Linked DNA regions of Cricetulus griseus. The protein of the gene in region 3 interacts with the protein of the main gene of each other region in a biochemical or structural test. Links are inferred from orthologs where the notes say so. Each region holds a gene or a part of one and is shown on either strand. Other genes may lie near its edges.

Region 1 (6,781 bases), on a different chromosome or scaffold from region 3:
TACAGTCACATGGCTAAGAACCACATTTTAACCAATAAGTTTTATTTCTCCAAAACCAGAATTACTGTTTTGTTTGTGTCACCTCTCAACCATAGATTTTTTTTTTTTTTTTGCTGAGGTGTGTGTGTGTGTGTGTGTGTGTGTGTGTGTGTGTGTGTGTGATGTATGCTTATGCACCTGTGTGTGAAGGTGTGCATGCCTGTGTGGGGGAAGCCAGGGGTCAGTGCCAGATGTCTTCCACAGTCACTCTTCACCTTATTTTCTGAGACCATTTCTATTTGAATCGGAGATGCATCTACTGGCCAGAATCCACCTGTCTCCACACCCATAATTCAGGATGACATCCTGTGGCCATTCCCAGCCTTGTGAGTGTGATGGAGATCTGAACTCAGATTTTCTGATTATGCTGCATTGAGACATCTCTCCAGCTCCCAGATGTAGTTTTTTCACATATAGTTATTTATTTTGTGTCTGTAGGAGTGTGTGTATAAAGGGGTCAAGGGACAGATTTTAGGAGTTGGTTCTCTCCTTCTACCATGTGGGCCCCAGTGATTAAACTCAGTCTTGGAGACAAGTGTCATACCCATGAACTATCTTACTGGGTCCAGATCTGTTTGTTTGGTTGGTTTAGATTTTCAAGACAGGGTTTCTCTGTGTAACTCTGGCTGTCCTAGAACTCACTCTGTAGACCAGGCTGGCCTCAAACTCAGGGATCTGCCTGCCTCTGCCTCCTGAGTGCTGGGATTAAATGTGTATGCCACCACCACCTGATTCAGATCTCTTTTTTGAAAAGGATTATAACTTGCTCTTTTCAAACTCTCAAATGTAGGACATTCTTTCCACCCTACAGATAATGTAAATGTATAAACTCCATTCTATCACTTCTAGAACCAGGAAATTTTTGAAGAGCCACAGAGAAAAAAAAAAAAAGAAAGAAAAATTCATCAAAGGTATTTTTTTTTAAAGCAGAGTTATGGGTCTTAGTCTCTGTATTTGGAAATATTTCGTTTGAAAGCAGCAGGCAGAAACAGTTCAAAGTCATTCTGAATGATGAGCTTAAATATGAGTCAATGTAACCAGCTGTTAATTGAGAGCTTTTCCTTTAATAGGAGTGGCCCACTGCACCATGTTCTGCTGGGCCTACGTGCCAACCACCCAGTGGTCTGGGTTCTCAAGAACTCTTCTGGAATTTGTGTTCATAAAGAACAAAACTGTAAAACACTAAGTGGTGATCCTGGGCCCTCCCACGCTCCCTTCCCAGGAGCCCAGGCAATGCCTCTCCATTTCCTGCCTCTCCATTCCCTGCCTTCATGGAAACACAGAGCAGGGCTTGAGGAAGTCCACATTCCAAAGCAGCAATCAGTGAAAGGACACTGGCCATCTCCTAGGGTTTCTCTCTCTTCCCAGTTCCTCACATCAAGGAAGATAAAATTACTCTGTGCTTCTGTCTCAGTCACTGACTTTTCCCCTTTGGAAAAGCCGAGTATCAGTCAAGGAAGAATGCATGACCCCTTGTTAACACCAAGCTGTGTCTGTTGCAATGGAGATTTAGACTCTGGCTACCAAGGGTGCTAGGCACACAGCACCTAAATCATAAATAAGACCAATTCTAGGCCACTTGAGCTTACTGGCAGGAAGTAAAAAGCTTATATTTTTAATATATTTACTTTGAGACCGGTCTCACTCTGTGGCCCAGGTTGGCTTAGAATTCTCCATGTAGCCTGTGCTGGTCTTAAACTTGAGATTCTCAGGAGGCTCTGCCTCCTGGGTGTTAGAATTACAGGCACTGACTCCCACACCCACCTAAGGAACAGTTCTTTGGAAAGCATCTGTTTCTATGTACCGAGTTCCAGCCAGTGCTACGCATGAGACCCCCAACTTGAAAAATAACAAATAAACCAATAAAGCCACTGTACTTATTTTTGATCCAGTGAAATATATCATTGATTAAGAAGCCCTGAAGAGAGTTAGTCATTTTACATAAACGTGATCAATTCTTTTGGTCAATGCATCAAGCAGTTCTCCATTCCTTCTGCCTTGTTTACAATTTAGTGAGCTATCCCTTAAACACTTCTAAGCTTAAACCTGAAAGACCCCCATGAAAGTCTTCCCCAGAATGGGAAATAAGTACAGATTTTAAACTCTTAAACATTGTGAATTTAGGAAGCTAACCCCCATCAAGGATAAATATGACTACCATAGGGAAAAGGGACCTATTTGAAAAGTATTCAGAATCAATGTGCACAGTCTAGCATGATAGTCAATACACTGTAATCCTAGCACCCAGGAGACTATGGTAGAAGGAGTGCCATGAGTTCAAGGTCAGCCTGGGATATGTAATAAGTATGAGGCCGGCCAAGGCTATATTGTAAGACCCTATCTCAAGAAACAAAAGCAAAGCAAAGCAAAAAATACCAGTGACCAAGAAGGAGACAATTGCTAAGTGTGTTTGTTCTAGCCTGGAAAATCACAAGTTCAAAACCACCCTAGACCACATAGGAAGACCTTGTCTCAATCAAAAACAACAAAACACTTCCAATCTCAAATTCCATAATCACCCCTCCCAAAGACTATTGTGGTAGAAAAGCAAGCTTTTGTTATGAAACTTCAATTTTTATGGAAATAGTTGGGGGAGGCAGCTCACACCTGTAATCTTAGCACTGGGGGATACTGAGACAGGATTGAAAAGTGAAAGCCAGCCTGGGCTACATAGTGAGTTCCAGACCTGCCTAGGCTGCAGTGAGACCCCGCCTGGCCCTCCCCCAAAAAACAAATAAATAAAAATATGGAAATACATAAACTTGAAGCAAACAACTTGGAATTTCAGAAATTAGTCATATAAACACTGTGATTGCAATTGTTTTCTTCAAAATAAGCTGGGTCACTAGGTCCTGAGGTCCTCATTATCTAGAAACCCAACTCCCCAAATATTCAATCCATGCATCTTGGTTCCCTGCATTCGTGTTTGAGCAACAGACAGCAGAACAAATCCAACTTTTAAAAGCCTCCAACTAAGGCTCTACACTCTGGGAAAAACATCACCACACCCAAGACTTCCCCAGCCCAGATCTAGAGGTTATTGCACAAATCACATTTGGGCACTGATGAGTCACTTGGCTTGCAAAAGTTTAGAGATTACCGTCGTTCCTCATCTGGGAACATGCGCACTAGAGCCTGGGCAACACTTCTGTGCGGTCAGCACGCAGGGAGTGGCTGTAACCCCTGTCGCTGCTGGACCTGGTGGAGCTCACTGGCACCACAGGGCAAGATCTCTAGTGAAAGGCTGGTAGAGCTCACTGGCAACACACAGCAAAGATCTCTAGTGAAAATCTCAGCAGGTGTACCAAAGGAGCCTGCTGGCTAAGGCAGGGATCCCAGAAGCTGTCAAGAGGGTGCCCAAGCAGCCCCCCAGCGTACCGGGAGGGGGACCTGATTCCTGTGTTTTAAGCTAGGGGCAACCGCTTGGAGCCAACTGCAAGGTGGCTCTTGGGTTCACTTGAGCCAAGAGCTTCCGATGCCTGCCCAGGGCCCGCAGGCATCCCGCTGCCCCAACGATGCTCAGTAAATAGGTCTCGACTAACTTTCTCGGAGTGTTACCCGCGGGTGAGTCACGGCCGTGGACCCGTGCCAGGGACCCTAAAGGTCTCCTCCCGCCAGTCAAGCCCTTTCTTGGTGCACAGAGCAGCACCGGTCCCCCTCGCTCTGCTCCGCGCAGCTCACCTTGGTCAGTGCTCCGCCCGCTGCTCCGCTAGCTGCTGGGCGGCGGCTGGGCGCTTTTTGTACACTTCTCCCCAGCCCGGCCCGCCCTCCCGGGGCGGGGCAGCATCTCCAGGCCAGCAGGCGCCTGCCTGGACCGCGCCCCGCGGACCCCAGAGCTTCCCCAAGCTGCAACAGGGACACTCCCGCCAACCTGTGTCCCTCACCTGTGCCCGGAAAGTGGGCCCTGATCCTCGCACCCAGACACTCTCAGACTCACCGGTTCCCGAGTCTGAAGTTGCCTCTCACGGTCTCATCCTGCCTCCATTTCCTTCACCCAAAGCCTTCCCAAAAAGTGGGAAGTGACTTATGCGGGTGAGGAGAGGTAGGAGCAGGTATCCCTGACGTGACCGAGCTGTAAAAGGCAACCCCGTTTGCATTCATTCCTGCTGAATTTTGCTGTGTCTGTATACCCCAAGTTTTGGTGTTTTGATCTACTCAGAATAGTAGGTTTTTCCTCAGTGGGAATTTATTGATTAAAGAATGAATGAATGAGAGTGGATGAATGAATAAGTGAGTGAGTAAACTGCTTCCTAGAAAGATGTTTGCTTAATGATTAGAGGAGAGTACTGCGTGGCAAGGGATAGTGAAGTCAAAAGAACAGGGCGAAGCTCTGTCTGTATGAGAAGTTGTTACAAGGAACAGCCACCTTTGCAAGAAGGCTGATAACTAGTTTGGAGACATTTATTTAGATAAAAGCTGAGTGATTAGTGGTTAAGGATATTCAAGATGGTTTTTCTTTTCCGGCTTCAGATGATAACATCAGGTAATATCCACCAAACGAGTATGCACCCTGTACTGTGTCTAAGACTTTACATGCATTTATGGAGTTGGTATTGTTTTAATCCTGTTAGTTCTAAAGCACCACACACAAACACACACACACACACACACACACACACACACACACACACACACACACACACACAATGGCTGGTGACAATTTACTAAACAGAAGGACTCTGGCTGGGTAACCAGAAACTTAAAGGTAGTTTCTGTTGACCAGGAATCTCTCTTAATCTGCCCCTAAATGTCAACTACCTAGGACAAAGGCATCTAGTTCCTGGTCAATTCCAACAGGATGTATCAGTTCAAAGCCCCCCTCCCCAGTTCTGCTGACTGTCATATAAAATCCATTAGCATTTCTCCCCCCACCTGGGATGGAGTGTTACCTTGGCAGTTTGAGCCCCAATAAACCTTCCTTTCTACCCATGGAGCAGTCAGTCCAGTTTGGTAGTTTTTCTGTGCCCTTGCTTACAAATGCCATTCTAGACATGAGAAAATGTAGGTATAAAGAATTAAACATAATCATGATAAAGGTGAAAGTATGTTAGAGTCCAAGAGTTTGAGAAATTGTCCCTCTGGCACTACATGTCTTCCTGCTCTAACTAAAACCCCAAAGTCAGCTAGCTGTCAGACAGCTCTAAGGGAGGTGGCCCCTGAAGAACCTGAGTCAGACAGGAAGCTCTGGTCCTGTGCTGCAACCGTCTGGAGGGGCAGCTCTGCTCCTCCACTGTCCAGTGAGGTCCAAGAGGAATGAACCATTGTTCATCTTGTGAGAACACAGTGGAAAGTCACCCTCTAAAGCAAACACAGAGGCTGCCTTGGTGCTGGGACCCAGCCTCCAGAATGATAAAAGGTAAGCACCTGCTGTTTACAAGCCACCTGGTCACTGATTCTTTTTGTATAGAAGACGAAATGCGCTCAGACACTGGGCAAGCAATTTGATTCTCCAAGGTCCTTCCACTGGAAGAGCAGAATCCAGAAGTACTAACTTTTATATTGACTGTAAAACAACAACAAACCCCTGGTGAAGAGAATCACTGTAGGTGATCAGGTAAGGGAGCTTGCTACAAAGCCCAACAGTCTAAGTTTGATCCCTGTAACTCACGAGGAAAGGAGAGAACCAACTCTTGAATGTTGTCCTCCAACCACCCCCCCCACATGCTCACATGCATACATGCAAAAAGAAATGTATTTTAAAATATTAAAATAGGTAAATAATATTTTAGAAATAAATGAATGTAAGCATTAAAAATAGAAATCACTGCTGGGCTTTGGCGCACACCTTTAATCCCAGCACTGGGGAGGCAGAGGCAGGCAGATCTCTGTGAGTTCAAGACCAGCCTGGTCTACAGAGGAGTTCCAGGCCGGGCTTCAAAGCCACAGAGAAACCCTGTCTCAAACACACACACACACACACACACACACACACACACACACACACAAAGAATAAAGAAAAGAAATGTAGGTAGGTGTGGTAGCTCCCACCTTTAATCCCAGCACTTGGGATGCAGAGACAGGCAGATCCCTTTCAGTCTATGGCCAGCCTAGTCTGTATAGGAATTGAGGCCAGCAGGGACACATAGTAAGACCCTGTCTCAAAAACAAAAATCCCAAACAATCATTGTAGATACTGCCTTACGTAAACCATGAAGCAGTCCAGATGTCACCTGACCCCAGAATTCCTAAATCTCTAAAGTCTCTAAAATAATATTAGTGTATTAATAAATGGCCTGGGAAATGTGCACACACTCATTGGCGGCACTGAGGAAGCCTACTGTTCTCTAGGCTAGATCTACAAGGTCTATAGGGCCTGCCACTGTCAAAGCATTGCTGCCCCCTCCAAGCTTACACATGGAAGTCACTGTGTGGCTACAGATGAATTCTGACACCGTGAACTCTCCTCTGTACAGGTATCTTGGCAACCAAGTGTTTGAATGAGTCATCTGGAGATGATTAGCATGTGAGGATTGAACAGGATGGGCCACAGGGCTGTCTTTTGTCCCTTAAGAAAACACTTCAAGCCTTAAGATGTTGAGTCACCGGGACACTCTCTCTGAGGGCTAGCCCGAAGTGGACAGTCAAACAGGTTGCTATGGAGATAAGAGATGAGTCACACTCTTGACCTCTGGTAATCTTTTATCTTTTTTTTCAGGGGGTAGATAAAGCTTAAATCTTTGATACTTAGATGGCTCACTATGCTAAACTGAACCATAAGCTCAGACTTCTTTTTCACTGCCCC
Region 2 (6,781 bases), on a different chromosome or scaffold from region 3:
TAGGGCCCATTCTCCCCTTCACATTGGTAGGCATAAAAAGCTAGTAAGAGCTGGTCTGTGGTGGCGCACACTTTAAATCCCTGCACTTGGGAAGCAGAGGCAGGCAGATCTCTGTGGGTTCGAGGACAACCTGATCTACAATACAAAGAGGGTTCCACAGCCAGGGATGTTACACAGAGAAATCCTGTCTTGAATCGCCCCCTCCCAAACAGTAGCATAAGAGACCACAAACTACAAGGCATTATGTATCCAGAGCAGGACTTGGCCTCCTCCTTAAAATCTCATTTAACTTCACAACAACCCTCATCTGAATTATGTATTACCCCCCATGCACAAATGAAAAACCAAGACTGAGAAAGATCAGCTAGTAAGTGCAAGGCTTGTAGCAACAGCTTGTAGTCCTTTGCCTTAGCACCCCTGTCCTACCTACGAGGTGCTTCTATGTTACCCGAACTAGTTTTTTGTTTTTGTTGTTTTCTGAGACAGGGTTTGTCTGTGGCTTTGGAGGCTGTCCTGGAACTAGCTCTTGTAGACCAGGCTGACTTCGAACTCACAGAGATCCACCTGCCTCTGCCTCCACAGCACTGGGAATAAAGGCGTGTGCCACCACCGCCCAGCTCCCCAAGCTAGTTCTAAATGATCCTCTTGCCTCAGTCTCCCGAGTAGTTAGTAGTATAGGGATGCACACTAGTCCCAGATAACTCCACCATGTAGCCAGGCTGGCCTGAACTTGATAACTAGTCCAGACTGGTCTTGAACACTTGTCGATCTGTTTGCCCTAGCCTCATAGGTTTCAAGTCTGTGCCACCATGCCCAGTGGCTTTCTGACCCTTCTGGAGGCAGATGAGGCCCTGTTGTTCATTCCTCCTCCACTTCCCACTGTTCTGCTCCTGTCACCACACTCTCTGGTCACCAAACCCTCTATGTGCTAGGCTCTGCTTGGCCTGGAGAATCTGGGGGAAGAGGAGAGGCTACTGGGACCAGGAGGGACACGTGGAGCAGTGGCTGGGAGTGAAGATTGATCAGCCGAGGCAGGACCCCTCACACAGACACAGACACAGACACAGACACACATATACACTCTCACATGAGGGTTTAGGCTGTGGGGAACAGAGGCAGCTGCCTTTATTGAGGCCTAGGGGCTTGTTGACTTCACTCAAAGGCCACACACTTGATCTTGAAGTCGCCGTCTGCCGCCATGTAGTTGATGGCCTCCATGTTGAGACGGTTAGGGAACTTGAACTCATGCCCATCTGGCAGCTTGATGGTCAGGTCAGCCTGGTCAAAGGTGATGCATACCTGGGGGGTGGAGAAGGGCAGTGAGTGACACCCTAAAGCAGCTCAGAGCCTGGATGACAGCTCCCATATAGGTGAGTCTCTACATAGGTTCAGAGCCGGTGACAGTCACTGGTAATCACACAGCCAGGGAAGGTCAGCCTGTCTCTGAGCACTAAAGCCATTGTTGTCCAGCCCACCCCAGGCCCTGCCCAGCCCCCATCCTGCCCACCTCCACAGTGCTTCCAGGCTGGAAGGGGAAGGCAGGCTCCCGGTGCTCAGTCCCCCAGGCTCCGTTATCCTTGCTGTTGCACACGATAGTGTTGGCGTCCCCATGGGCGTTGAAACGGGGGTTGAAGTGCAGGCACAGGTTGTTGCTGTCTTTCCCCAGGTTCAGCACAAAGCTAGGGAGTGACAGGTAGGCTTAAGACCATGTTGGCTGGCTCTAGACCCAAAGCTCACTGAGAAAAGGCAGCATCAGCAGCTGGCCTGTAATGTACCTTGTTGAAACTCAGCCAACAGGAAGGCCAGGAACCTGGGTTCTAATTCTGGCCTCAATATGTGAGTTGATCTCGACCCTACCATTTCTCTCTGAGCCAGTTTCTTTCCTGTCTGTACAATGGGGGGAGGGGGCCTGCGCTGAAGGGATCTCTCTCCCAGACATTAATTGGTGTCAGCTCTTTGGTCAAGGGGGAGACTCTCCGATGTCCTCCTGTCTGTCTTGTGTATCTGAGTCCTTGGTGCCTAGTACAGAGCAGAACACTGTGCAAATGTCCCATCATTGTGGAGTAAAAGTGCAAATAGTAGTATGGGATTTGATCTGTTACATGGGACCTGGTAGCAGTACTTGCCACCATGGTCTGGTAGGAAAAAAGAGGAGCAGGCCCAGGCACTCACTACCATCAGCCAGCTAGCTGCCTTGATAAATCTGGCCCCTGGCATTCTCCACACCACAACTTTCCCTCTGGCTTTATTAGGAAACCCAGACTCTTCCGGGTGTGGAGGTGCAGACTTTCAATCTCAGCACTGGGGAGGCAAAGACATGTGGGTCTCCGTGGAGGCTAGTCTGGTAGACATATAGTAAGTTCCATGCTAGCCAGGGCTACATAGTGAGACCCTGTCTCCCCACAAGGAAAAAAACAAAACAAAACAAAAAACAAAAAAAAAAAACGAGGCTTCCTGAGCTTGGGTGACTGGTCTAAGGTCACATGGTTGCCTAGAAAATAGGCGATGGGACTGTGAATGAGAGGGAAGCACTGAAAGAAAAGACTGAGCCGGCACACCCCACCCCACCCCACCCCCAGGCAGCAGGCACGTGGGTGATCCCTCCCTCATTGCCACATTACACATCCCAGGCAGAAGGGGAGGGGGTAAGCCGAGGTAGCTGTTGAGGCAGCAGCTGGTTTAGTTTAAGAACCTCCATCCGGGAGAGAGGGGGCGGGAGGGGAAGGGAGACCACGGTGAGGTCGACCAGACCCAGCTAGGAAGTGACTCACCCAGAAAACGGAGCTTCTGCAGCTGACTATTAACCCCCTGCGGGCTGGGGAGAGGAGCCCTGGCCCAGCCACGCCCATCCCCAGCTTCGGGACCCAAGGCCTGCTAACACCGCCCCTGCCACCACCATCGCTGGCTCCATTCTCACCTCTTGGCGTCAGGGGCCACCTCGCCCCGAACTTTGAGACACTCCCCAGGTTTGAGATTCAGGTTGCTTGCGACCAGACCCTGTGTAGAAAAGACCACCTAGCTGCATTTAGGGCCGAGTTCAAACATGGCCTGAGCTACCTGCAGAGGCCTGGGGTGTGTGCATGGGATCAGAGACACCCTGGGTATCCGGAGCAGCCCTAGGGGAAGCCCAGAGGTAGGGTGGGTGGGTAGGACAAGGTGTAAGTTCTAGTCTTGATTGTCCCAGCACGGTATGCTAATTTGAAACTTATGGACAGAGACAGAGCCTAGAAGATTCACTCAGTCAGCTTGGAGATTTTTTTTTTTTTTTTTTTTTTTTTTAACTTAGAGTGGAGGGGAAGATGGAGCGTGACCGAAGTTCTCATTTAGCGCCTCCGGGAGTGAAAAAGCAGCCCCGACCTCTCCAGTTCCCCTCAAGGCTCTGTCTACAGGCATTGGAGTGGAGAAGCTGAGGGGCAGCCCCCCTCCTCCCTCCCCCGCAGAAGAGTGCAGCTAGAGAGCAGCATCATGGATTTAGCAAACTAGAGGAGAACCCAGCAGATAGCTGGGTATTGCTGGGCACCTGCCTGGTGGGCAGACAGGAGTTAATTTGTGTGAGGAGCTTCTTTGACATTTGAACCCTGACAAATACACAGCCTGTATGTCTATTTGTGCAAATGCACGCAGTTCTCTAGGCCCCCGGCTGGCCGGCAGCCACGAACAGCCCCAGCCTGGCCTGGACGGCAGCTTCTCCTGGGCCCCGGAGGTTTTTAAGTTTTTCTGGAGCAGAGGGTGATCTACTGGGCCCTGGCTCTGTGACTGGGGACAGCTGCAGGGGGGGAGGGGTCAGGAGCCTCTAGAGTAGAGGAGAGGGAAGCAGTGAATGGCCTTGCCCAAATTGTCCCCCTGCCTCCCCTTTCCCCCTCCCCAGGTGGCCACACCCTTCCCACTCTTACTTCTCAGAAAACTGCGAAGTGCCCCAATATTGGACCTTCTAAGATGTAAGCATACTGTCGGAGCTCAGAGGAATCCAGGATACTCTTAACACAGAGAGGCTGAAGACTTTTGGGGACTATGCCACCCACCCCCATTTTACAGACGTGGATACTGAGGATCAGAGAAAACACCTGTCTAAGGCCGCACAGCTGGAACCAGGTCCCAAACTGGCCACTTTTCTATGCCCATCTGCTGCTGTTTAATCCCCTAGACCTTGCAGTAGAGGGTCTCGCACTCACACAGGCCATGACTGAAGCGAAGTGAAGGCGGCTGCACCACTTGTCTGAAGACTCCACCCGAGTGACGGGACCCCAAGCCCTCTCCGACCCTTTTAACAGGACCCAGACCCGGTGAGTCCCGCCCCTCCGGTAGGCTAGGCCAATTGATGTCAGGAACGGGGTGGGGGGGCACTAGAGGCGGAGTCAATGGATTATAAATCCAGTTTTAGAGCAGAGGTGACCAGTCAGAGAGAAGAGTGCCCCTCCTTAGTCCCTCCCTCAGGGTCCAAGCGCCGCCCCTTATTCTTCCCCATCTCTCTCCTCCCACTAAAAAAAGATTTGTGTGGTGGCAGAGATTGGGGGAGCCAGTGGAAAATAGTTTGAGGATGAGTTAGGCTCAAGAGTTGGCGGGAAGGGGCCTGGGGCCAGCAGGCAGAGAGCCCCTGGGGCTCAGTGCAGCTGGTGGGGGTATGTGTGTAGAGACTGAGGAAAATTAGAGCAGGGCTAAAAGAGGCTGCAGCCTGGCAGACCGGGGTGTGGCTCCGGCTGTGGCTCTGGATGTGGGCCTCTGTGGAGGGCTGAGAAGGACCACAAAGCCCAGGCCCCACCCGGGCTTTCCCCGGAAGCAGCGTACTGTGGCTGCAGCTCAGTGCTGCTCACTAGGGCTAAAGAAAGACTGGGCTGGGCGCCAGGCCTGACGCTGGTGTCCTTGGCTCATACCTTGGACTTCACCCCACTGCAGAGCCTGCAGAGACTTCTGGGTGCCCTGGCTCTGACATCCCTGGGCCTGAGAGGTAGCCTAAGGTGTGTCAGCTCTGCACCCTTGGTCTCATTCTCACTTTTGGAGACCAGACATGGCCATCCATTTAGCAGATACTTTCCTGAGCACCTACTATGTGTCTAGCCCTGGGCTGGCCTTGGAGGACTCAAAGTTGAGCCCCTCCCAGTCCCTACTCTCAGAATCCACGGTTTGGCTAGGATCTGACCATGAGTCTGATTAAATAAGGTTGTGTTGGTTATGGGGAAGGCAAAGACATAGATACCACTGTGGTGGGATGGAGACTGTGGGATGTAAAGCAGGGTGTTGAATGACCGGGCATTCTGACTGGGCAAAGGCTTTGTGATGAGAAGCCCAAGCCTGGGGAACAAGCTGATGAGTGTGTAGGAGAGAGATAGGAGTCAGGGATCATGAAGGGCCTTTCGGACCAGACAAAGGGTTTCATTGTTGTTTCGCCTGAGGGTCCTAGGGAGCTACAGATAATTATGGGGTGAAATGCGACTTAGGGAGGCTCACTGAGCAGAGTGGAGGGTTAAGTGGTAAAACAAGGCACTTCTGAAGCTGCTCCTGCCCAAAAGCCTGGACCCCTCCTTTGGGTCCAGAAGACTACTGACAGGATGAGTCTGCCCTCTCTCTGCATTTTCTTGGATCCATCTCCATACTTTGGCTCAGACTCCTGCTTGACTCAACCTTCCTGACCTACCTCATCCTCCTTCTAAGCCAAAGGCACGGAGACAAGTCACTGACCCAAATCTGCAGTCGTCTTGGATTCTAGAAAAAGCAAAGCCATACAGGACAGCCCCTCCCCCACAGGAGGTCAAGCGTCTGCACATGCAGGAGCAGGACTGGCCCTCTCCTGAGCAACTGCCTGTCCCCTAAGCAATGGAACTTCTTTGAACCCGTCTTGCAAGGCCAGTCTGCTCAAGTATGCATACCTCTTGCTATCTGCCCCAGTTCTTCCCATATTGAAGCTTAAAGTGCTTCGTGGCTCATGCCTGTAATACCAGCACTTGGGAGGCTGAGGCAGGAGGGTTAGGAATTCAAGGCCACCATCAGCTACATGAGACCCTGGCTCAAAAATAAAGAAAGAAAGAAAAGAAAAGAAAAAGAAAGAAGAAAATTAATAGCTAGGTAGGCAGTGGTGGCACACACCTTTAATATTGTACTCAGCAGGCAGAGGCAGGTGGATCTCTGTGAGTTCCAAGCCAGCCTGGTCACAGAGCTAGTTCTAGGACAGCTAGGGCTGTTATACAGAGAAGCCCTGTCTCAAATAACCAAAACAACAACAACAAAAACCCCCAACCCAAGCCAGGTATTGGTGGTGCACCCTTTTGATACCATACCAGCACTTGGGAGGCAGAGGCAGGCAGATCTCTGTGAATTCCAGACCAGCCTGGTCTACAGAGTGAGTTCCAGGACAGGCTCCAAAACAATACAGAGAAACCCTGTCTCGAAAAAACAGAACAAAATAGACAAAAAAACCCCAGCCCCCCAAAACAACAGAAAAAAAACCCTCAAAATACCCCAACAAAAACAATAAATAAATAAAACATTAATGGCTGATATAGCAACAACTGCCCCCTTAAAAAAAACAACACATGGGGCTGGAAAGATGGCTCAGAGGTTAAGAGCACTGTCTGCTCTTACAGAGATTCCCAGTAACCACATGGTGGTTTACAAACCATCTATAATGAGATCTGGTGCCCTCTTCTGTTGTGCAGGAATACATGCAAGCAAAAGGCTATATATGTAATAAATAAATCTTACACACACACACACACACACACACACACACACACACACACACATATCAGCACCCTAAAAACAGACTTGGGGTTACTGGATCCCTTTA
Region 3 (6,681 bases):
CACCTAGTGATGCATGCAGAGTCTCCCCACTTTTCCATCCTTACAGATGCTGGGGTGCGGCTGTCTCTCGGGCCTGGCACAGGCTCAAAGCTTTCTGGAGGAACTGCTGCTCCCCATGCTGCTTCCTCCTCCCTGCAGGTACCCTCCTCCGTCTCCTGCTGTTGTTCTTTAGTCTCTGAGTCCCAGCGCGCAGTCTCTTCTCAAGGACGCCCCTATACTCAGTCAGCTCAGCCCTGTGCTCACCAGCTTGATACCCGCGGCTGCATCCCACTCTGTCCTCTGAGGAGGCCGAGGGCCAGGGCTGGGCTGTTGGGGCGTTATTGTCCACCTCCCCCAAGGGTTTACAATCTCATTCCCTGTCCCCCAGAAGCCAGCACACCTGCCCTTCAAACACTGGAGGAAGCCAGCAACACCTCCTGCATGAATGAGTCAGCATGGTGAGAAGCATGTGTGACTTTAATGATTTCAGATTAGCAGACTGAGCTACCCACTGGACCTCACAGAACCTGCTTGTGCCTGCAATGGAGCCCCGGGGACTCTCAGCACTGGAGTGAATGCTGGCTGAAACCTAGTAAAATTTAAGGCTCATAAAGACAGTGGAGGCTAGAGGGAATCTGGTGGCAGGCTGCTGGGAGTGGCTACACAGAAGGGGACACGTGGGTGTCTGAGTTCCCACCACTGAGAGGGACCATCTAGTCCAGGTCAGTGGAGTTAGTCAGGTAGAAGGGGCGGATGACCACACGGAAGCCGCTGAAGGCCCCCGAGGTGCAGGGAAAGAGGGAAGAAATCTTGGAACTATTGGTATCCAGGGCACTGGGGACAGGAGCCTTAGAGCCGGCAAAGTTGGTGACATCCACCACACTGTGACCTCCACAGAGCATCAGTGCTTTGTTTTCATAGCCAATCATAGGCTCGGAGTAGCTGGACTTGGTGAGGCCCAGAACTGGGAGCTCGTCAGAGGTGCAGGAGAAGCCATAGTTCCAGCAGCTCTGGACGGTGGGGAGGTAGGTGGCCGACCAGGAGATTAGCTTGTCCGTGAAGAGAAAGCTGGGGTGTTGTGGGGTCTGGAAGGACCGGTAGGGGGAGTACCGACTTACTGAATCATAGCCATATGAATAGTACCCATACACTTGCGCACCCTGTGACCTTGAGGAACGGTCTGTCACCAAGGTGCTCCAGGTTGAGGAGGTGTAAAGCCGGGGCTTGTAGGTGTTCTCCGTGAGGTTCAGGCCTCTGTACTTGGCCAGTACTGGGAAAGGCACAGTGTGGAACTCCAGGGCCTCCATGGTCTTCCTTTGGAACAGTGCCTGGTGACCCTGGTACAAGGACAGGTTGAACTGCAGCTCAAACAGCTGCTGGGGCAGCATCATGGGGAAGCGGACCTGTTCCACCAGGCCCTCCACCTCAGCATGGGAGGCGCCACTCTCCGCGCTCCACTGATCCACGGCCTTCAGCAAGTCCAGCTCACTAGACACAGCCAGCTCACTCTTGGAGAGGAGAGCCTGGAGCAAGGTGGTGGGAACACTCAGCCAGGCCTCAACCTGTGTCAGAGGCTCAAAGTTCCAGGCCAGGAACTGCACGCACAGCTCTTCCAGCACAGAGTCCCTGGTGGCCTGTGCGTACTCATAGAGCTCCAGGGGCGTGTGGAAAGTGGGATCCTCGGGGAGGAGGGTGGCGAACAGCCGGCTGCAATAGTCTCGAAGCTGTGTGGCCCCGTAGGCAGAGGCTAGCTTGTGCAAGCACTTAACAGAAGACATGGTGACCTCGATTCTTCGGGAGTAAAAGTACCTGGGGGTGGGAGGGAGGTTAGGAAATGGAAGCCTGCCCTGACAGACAGCAGGGCTTTTGTTTGGCTTGCTTTCCCACACAGCTACCTACTACACCTTCACCATTGACCTCACGCCAGGGTGCCGCCACTAGTGGCAGCATTCACCTCCATTCTCATGCCAACTGACAGCAACTTTTGGGTGTTGGGCCACAGGGTGGATAGTTGTTGGCAATGACACTCACAGCCACTTTCTTCCTCATCTGTGAATGCCCTCACCTGAGGGGTTCCCACCTACATCTCCTGGTCACTCTGATGTCACTGTGAGCCTTGGACAGCAGAGGTCTAGACATGGGACCCTGCTGGGTTCCTGTGGGTACCTCTTTCTCCCCAAGCATCTGCTCTCTGTCAGGTGATAATGACACCCGATGATTTGGTCACCCGATTTCTGCTTCCCTGGGACTATGAGCCATGTGAGGGTCTGAGCCCACCAAGTCCAGAGTGACACCCTCCCTGTTGGTCCATAAATGTTCAAATAGAGTTGAGGGTTCCTGCCATTGGCTTCACAGCACCCCAGAGGTTGGGATGGCAACTCTCTCCTCAGGGCTGGTGCACACAACTCGTGGTAGACCATGCATAAAATCACCTCATAGGGAGGGCACGGGACAGTAGGATGCTACCACCAACCTCTCCCTGCTCTTGAAGGATTGGCACCAATTTCTAATCCTCATCCCACACCAGAGTGGTCCCTCAGACTGCTAGCAGCTATCTCTAAGTGCCAAGGGAGGCTGGGAAGTGCCAGGGTTCTTGTGAGTGCCTCTCTGCCCTCATGCCCCTCCCATGCTCCCTTACTCAGGGCCCAGTCTTAGTTTCCAGAAATCAGAGTGGGCCTCCCCACCCTGCCCATCCTTTTCAAGTAAAAATCACATATGCAGAGAGAGAGAGGGGAAAAGCCCAAAGCCAGCTTTTAGGCTCGAGGGACAGCGGGAGGAGTCTAGGGGACTGTTGTGTCTCCTGTGGCTGAACCCGTGTGTGTGTGTGTGTGTGTGTGTGTGTGTGTGTGTGTGTGTGTGTGTGTGTGTGTGTGTGTGTGTGTCCATCCTCAGAGGGAAAGGGGGGATGAAAGAGGAAGAGAGAGGGAGGGAGAGGGAGAAAGAGAGAGATAACAGGAGCCCAGACCTGAGGCCACAGCTGGGGGTGGGGCAGGGGGTTCAGGAAGGCAGGGATGACATCTGCTCCACCCTCCACTGTGTCTTAGACATAGAATTCACCAGGAGGACACAGGAACCCTGCCAGGTTTGCACACTAGGCTGGGAGCAAATGGTTCTAATCTGGGTTTAATTGCCAGTATTATTCTTATAAATGTCAGATTCCATTATATAAAGAATCGTGTCATAAGGGTGAGAGAGGGTACTTTTTAATAAATGTTCTATTTTAAAGAACCACTGCTTTCAAAATGCAAACCTCAGAGTCCTCCTGGGTGGGGAACCTGTGTAATCTTGACAATTAAGCAGAGAGGTATGGAGGGAAGGGTCGTGGCAGAGTCTGGGGAGGGATGTGGACCCCACTAACTGTCTCTACTCTCATCTGTAAGTATGGGGTAGTCTGAGAGGCTCCTCAGAGGGGCAAGCGTTCCCTCTTCCCTCACAGACAGTTTTAAAGTCATGGCTCCCTGCTGTTCTCTTAGCAAGACCGATAATGTGGGAAGGGAGGGCTCTTACGCTGAAGTTGGCAAGATGGCTCAGCAGCCAGTCAATTGCTACCACATCTGATGACCTGAGTTGGTCTCCAGAACCCACAGGAGAAGCTACTCCTGAAAGCTGTCCTCTGACCTCTGCATACACCCTGTGGGGACCACACAAACAAGCACACAGGAACCTCACATTGTATCTCTATCGTACCTAAGACACATGACATAGAGAGGGGAGGATCATGCGTGCATCTTACCTATACTGTCCATGCCTTTCTAAGGGCCCCAGGGAGTGGGAGGGGAAGCCTGGGACTTCATTCCAGCCTTGCTGTAGGATTCCATGCTGCCAGTTCCCACCTGGACTCTATTTCCATGCGCCCTCCCAGGTGGCTCCCAGGTGGCAAACTGCAGGCCAGTACTCCATGCTGAAGTCACAACCTCAGAATACCAAACCCTTCTTACAGGATTTGGAGTATTTAGAGTCGTATAGTGAAAATGCATGTATCTGTGTGCACTTAATGTGGGTGGGAGTGCACGTGGGCACACCAGTTCAGTGTGTATGGGGTGCTTTATGGTAGGAGTGCTCTGGTGGTCTGAATAGTCCCCATTCAGACATATGTGATTGCTTAGTCACCAGGCAATGGGACTGTTTGAAAAGATTAGAAGGATTAGGAGGTGTGACCTTGTTGGAGATGTGTCACTGGGGGTGGGCTCTGACCTTTCAAAAGCCCATGACAGGCCCAGTCTCTCTCTGCCTGTGGATCAGGTGGTAAAGCTCTCAGCTACGGCTCTACCAAGGTCCACTGCCACCACCAAGGTGACGATGAACTAAACCTCTGAAGCTGCAAGCAAGCCCCAATTAAATGCTTTTTTTTTTTTTTTTTGAAAACCAGCCTTGGTCATAGTGTCTCTTTACAGGAATAGAACAGTGATTAAGATAAGTAGACAAACAGGCACATGTAAAAGTAAGGTTTGGATGCATGAGAACGTGTTTATACAGGTGCAGGGAGCATCTGGATACATAAGTGTGTGTGTGTGTGTGTGTGTGTGTGCCCAAAGGTGGTGAGTATTCACATGTATGAGTGTTCAATGCTTCCATGTAAGAGCAGGGAGCATCTGGGTGTTAATGTGTGCTCACATTAACACATTAGCACATGCAGCAAGTGTTGCGGTGTGTCTCCACGTGACACTGAGGTAGGTGGGAGAGTTTGTCACCGTCTGTCTGCCAGGGCAGATGTGTGCAGTGTGAAGAAGCATGCACCCATGTGTGATATGTGTGTTGCACCAGCCCATGCTTGAGTATGAGGGGCAGATCTGCCACTCTGCCACCCCACCGCAGCGCAGGGATGCCCTAGCGGGAAAGCGGGGCAGAGGAGCGTGCAGCCCAGCCTCTCCCTACCTGAGGAAGTCTCTGACCACGGGCATGCAGTCCACGTCCACTCTCATGATGACGCTGCTGCCCTCTGCGTGCCACAGGGCCTGGGCCTCCGAGTTGGTGTTCAGGATCAGCTTGTGGGCACAGAGGGTCAGATCCCTGTGCCCTTGCCCTGTCACCTGAATGAACAGGTCACAGCCCTGCTGGCTGTCAAAGATCTGGCCCAGCGCATCTGGGAGGTCTCCGGAGAGGTCCAGGATGTGCATGCTCTCAGTTTCTGGGAAAGACAGGGGGTTGCTGTGTGAGGGTTTGGGTTCTGCAAACTATTTTCTCTGGCTCCAAGCTCCACCTATCACTCGGAAGTCAGGTTCCTCATCTGGTTCCTGGCTTTGCTCAGAAGGGCTTGTGGGGAGATGCAGGATGGAACAGGCCTTCAGGAAGGGTGCACCTGCCCTCTGAACTTCATGAAACAGGAGCAGGCCCCTCTGGCCTCTGTGGCCCTGTGTGCCCCGTACCCTATATACCCAGAGGCTGGCTCCCTGTACCCACTCAGGCACTGTGTGTTTGGTTTGTAGAGAGTGCTGTAATGGTTTGAATAAGAATGGCTCCATAGGGTCACATGACTGAATACTGAGTCACTACTCGGGAGTGGGACTGTTACAAAGGGTTAGGAGGATTGGGCCCTGTGGGAGGAGGTGTGTTACTAGGGGAGGGAGGGAGGGAGGGACAGAGGGAGGGAGGGAGGGAGGAGGAGGAGAGGGAGAGAGGAGGAGGGAGGGAGGGAGGAGAGAGGGAGGAGGAGAGAGAGGAGAGGGAGGGAGAGAGGAGGGAGGAGAGGGAGGGAGGGAGGGAGGGGGACTCTGACCCTGAGTCTATGTCCATCCTTTACAAACCCATCAGTAACCGCAGAAGCCGCTCTCCTACACCCAGGGAACAGCCTGAGAAGTTAGGGTTCCACAGCAGCCCCACATCACAACTTGGTGCTTCCCAGTTCCAAGGGGACGAGTCCTTGAGGGGCTATGGCACACCTCTGGGCATCCCCACCTTTTCCCTGCCTCCCAAGTCCTAACCCAGAACCCCATGCCACATCACCGGCTGCCCGCATAAGGGTTGGCTTGACTTTCACATTCAGAGTGGGTGGGCTGGCCCCTCACAGCCCTTATGTCATGGCCCAGGACCCTCCAGCTCCTACCTCCTGGTCACACTGTTCCAGCCAGAGGGGTCTCTCGCCCTCCCTCCCAGAAGCCTGCACAGCTCAGTCACACTCATGAGGCTCCTCTAGTCTGAGCCCTCCAACCCAGATCAACTTGTCCCCAAGCTTGTCTGACCTCATGGAATCCAATACCCTCGTGCCTCAGTTTCCCAACTCAGGAACCCCATGGGCTAGCCCAGGAGGACACCATAGATGGCGGCCAGGAAGGAAGGCTCCCATTGAGCCTCAGACACGGGAGGTGAAGAGTTGGAACGGGGTCGGGGTTTTTGGCAGGCAGGACTTTGGGCACCAGAGCTCTTGACCATCGCCATTGAGAACCGCGTCAATGTCACCACACACGGGTGTGTGCGCACAGGGGCGTGCATGCACTATGTCAGAGCAAGTGACAACCACCAGATGTTGAGCTTCAGAGAGCCCACCCTCCCTCATACAGGTGTCACTGTATATGGGATACAGTCCCTTACCCATAATCCACTGCTCTACTGCACAGCTGCTCTGGCATGGGTATCGCAAGGGGCCCTCTTGGAGGAAGTGGGCTTTCATGCATCCCAGCCACACCCAGAGCGCCACTCTCAACTTCTGTTTACACATGGGTGCTGGGAGAGGCAGGGCATGGGCCCACCACACTTCCTCCAGGT

The links.
Region 1: the proteins of Lgals3bp (region 3) and Lgals3 form a complex in vitro, tested with the Homo sapiens proteins (4 studies listed by BioGRID). The link is inferred for Cricetulus griseus from reciprocal best matches to the Homo sapiens genes LGALS3BP and LGALS3.
Region 2: the proteins of Lgals3bp (region 3) and Lgals1 form a complex in vitro, tested with the Homo sapiens proteins (2 studies listed by BioGRID). The link is inferred for Cricetulus griseus from reciprocal best matches to the Homo sapiens genes LGALS3BP and LGALS1.

Annotation. Positions count from the first base shown.
Region 1 is NW_023276807.1:203,413,658-203,420,438, reverse strand, and holds the start of Lgals3 (galectin-3), read right to left. Parts: upstream 3,807-6,781; 5' UTR 3,721-3,806; intron 1-3,720. UniProt on the Homo sapiens protein: Galactose-specific lectin which binds IgE. May mediate with the alpha-3, beta-1 integrin the stimulation by CSPG4 of endothelial cells migration.
Region 2 is NC_048595.1:376,033,557-376,040,337, reverse strand, and holds Lgals1 (galectin-1), read right to left. Parts: upstream 4,329-6,781; 5' UTR 4,182-4,328; coding exon 4,173-4,181; intron 2,998-4,172; coding exon 2,918-2,997; intron 1,680-2,917; coding exon 1,508-1,679; intron 1,300-1,507; coding exon 1,153-1,299; 3' UTR 1,089-1,152; downstream 1-1,088. UniProt on the Homo sapiens protein: Lectin that binds beta-galactoside and a wide array of complex carbohydrates. Plays a role in regulating apoptosis, cell proliferation and cell differentiation. Inhibits CD45 protein phosphatase activity and therefore the dephosphorylation of Lyn kinase.
Region 3 is NC_048600.1:130,936,395-130,943,075, forward strand, and holds the end of Lgals3bp (galectin-3-binding protein), read right to left. Parts: intron 5,108-6,681; coding exon 4,855-5,107; intron 1,789-4,854; coding exon 693-1,788; 3' UTR 438-692; downstream 1-437.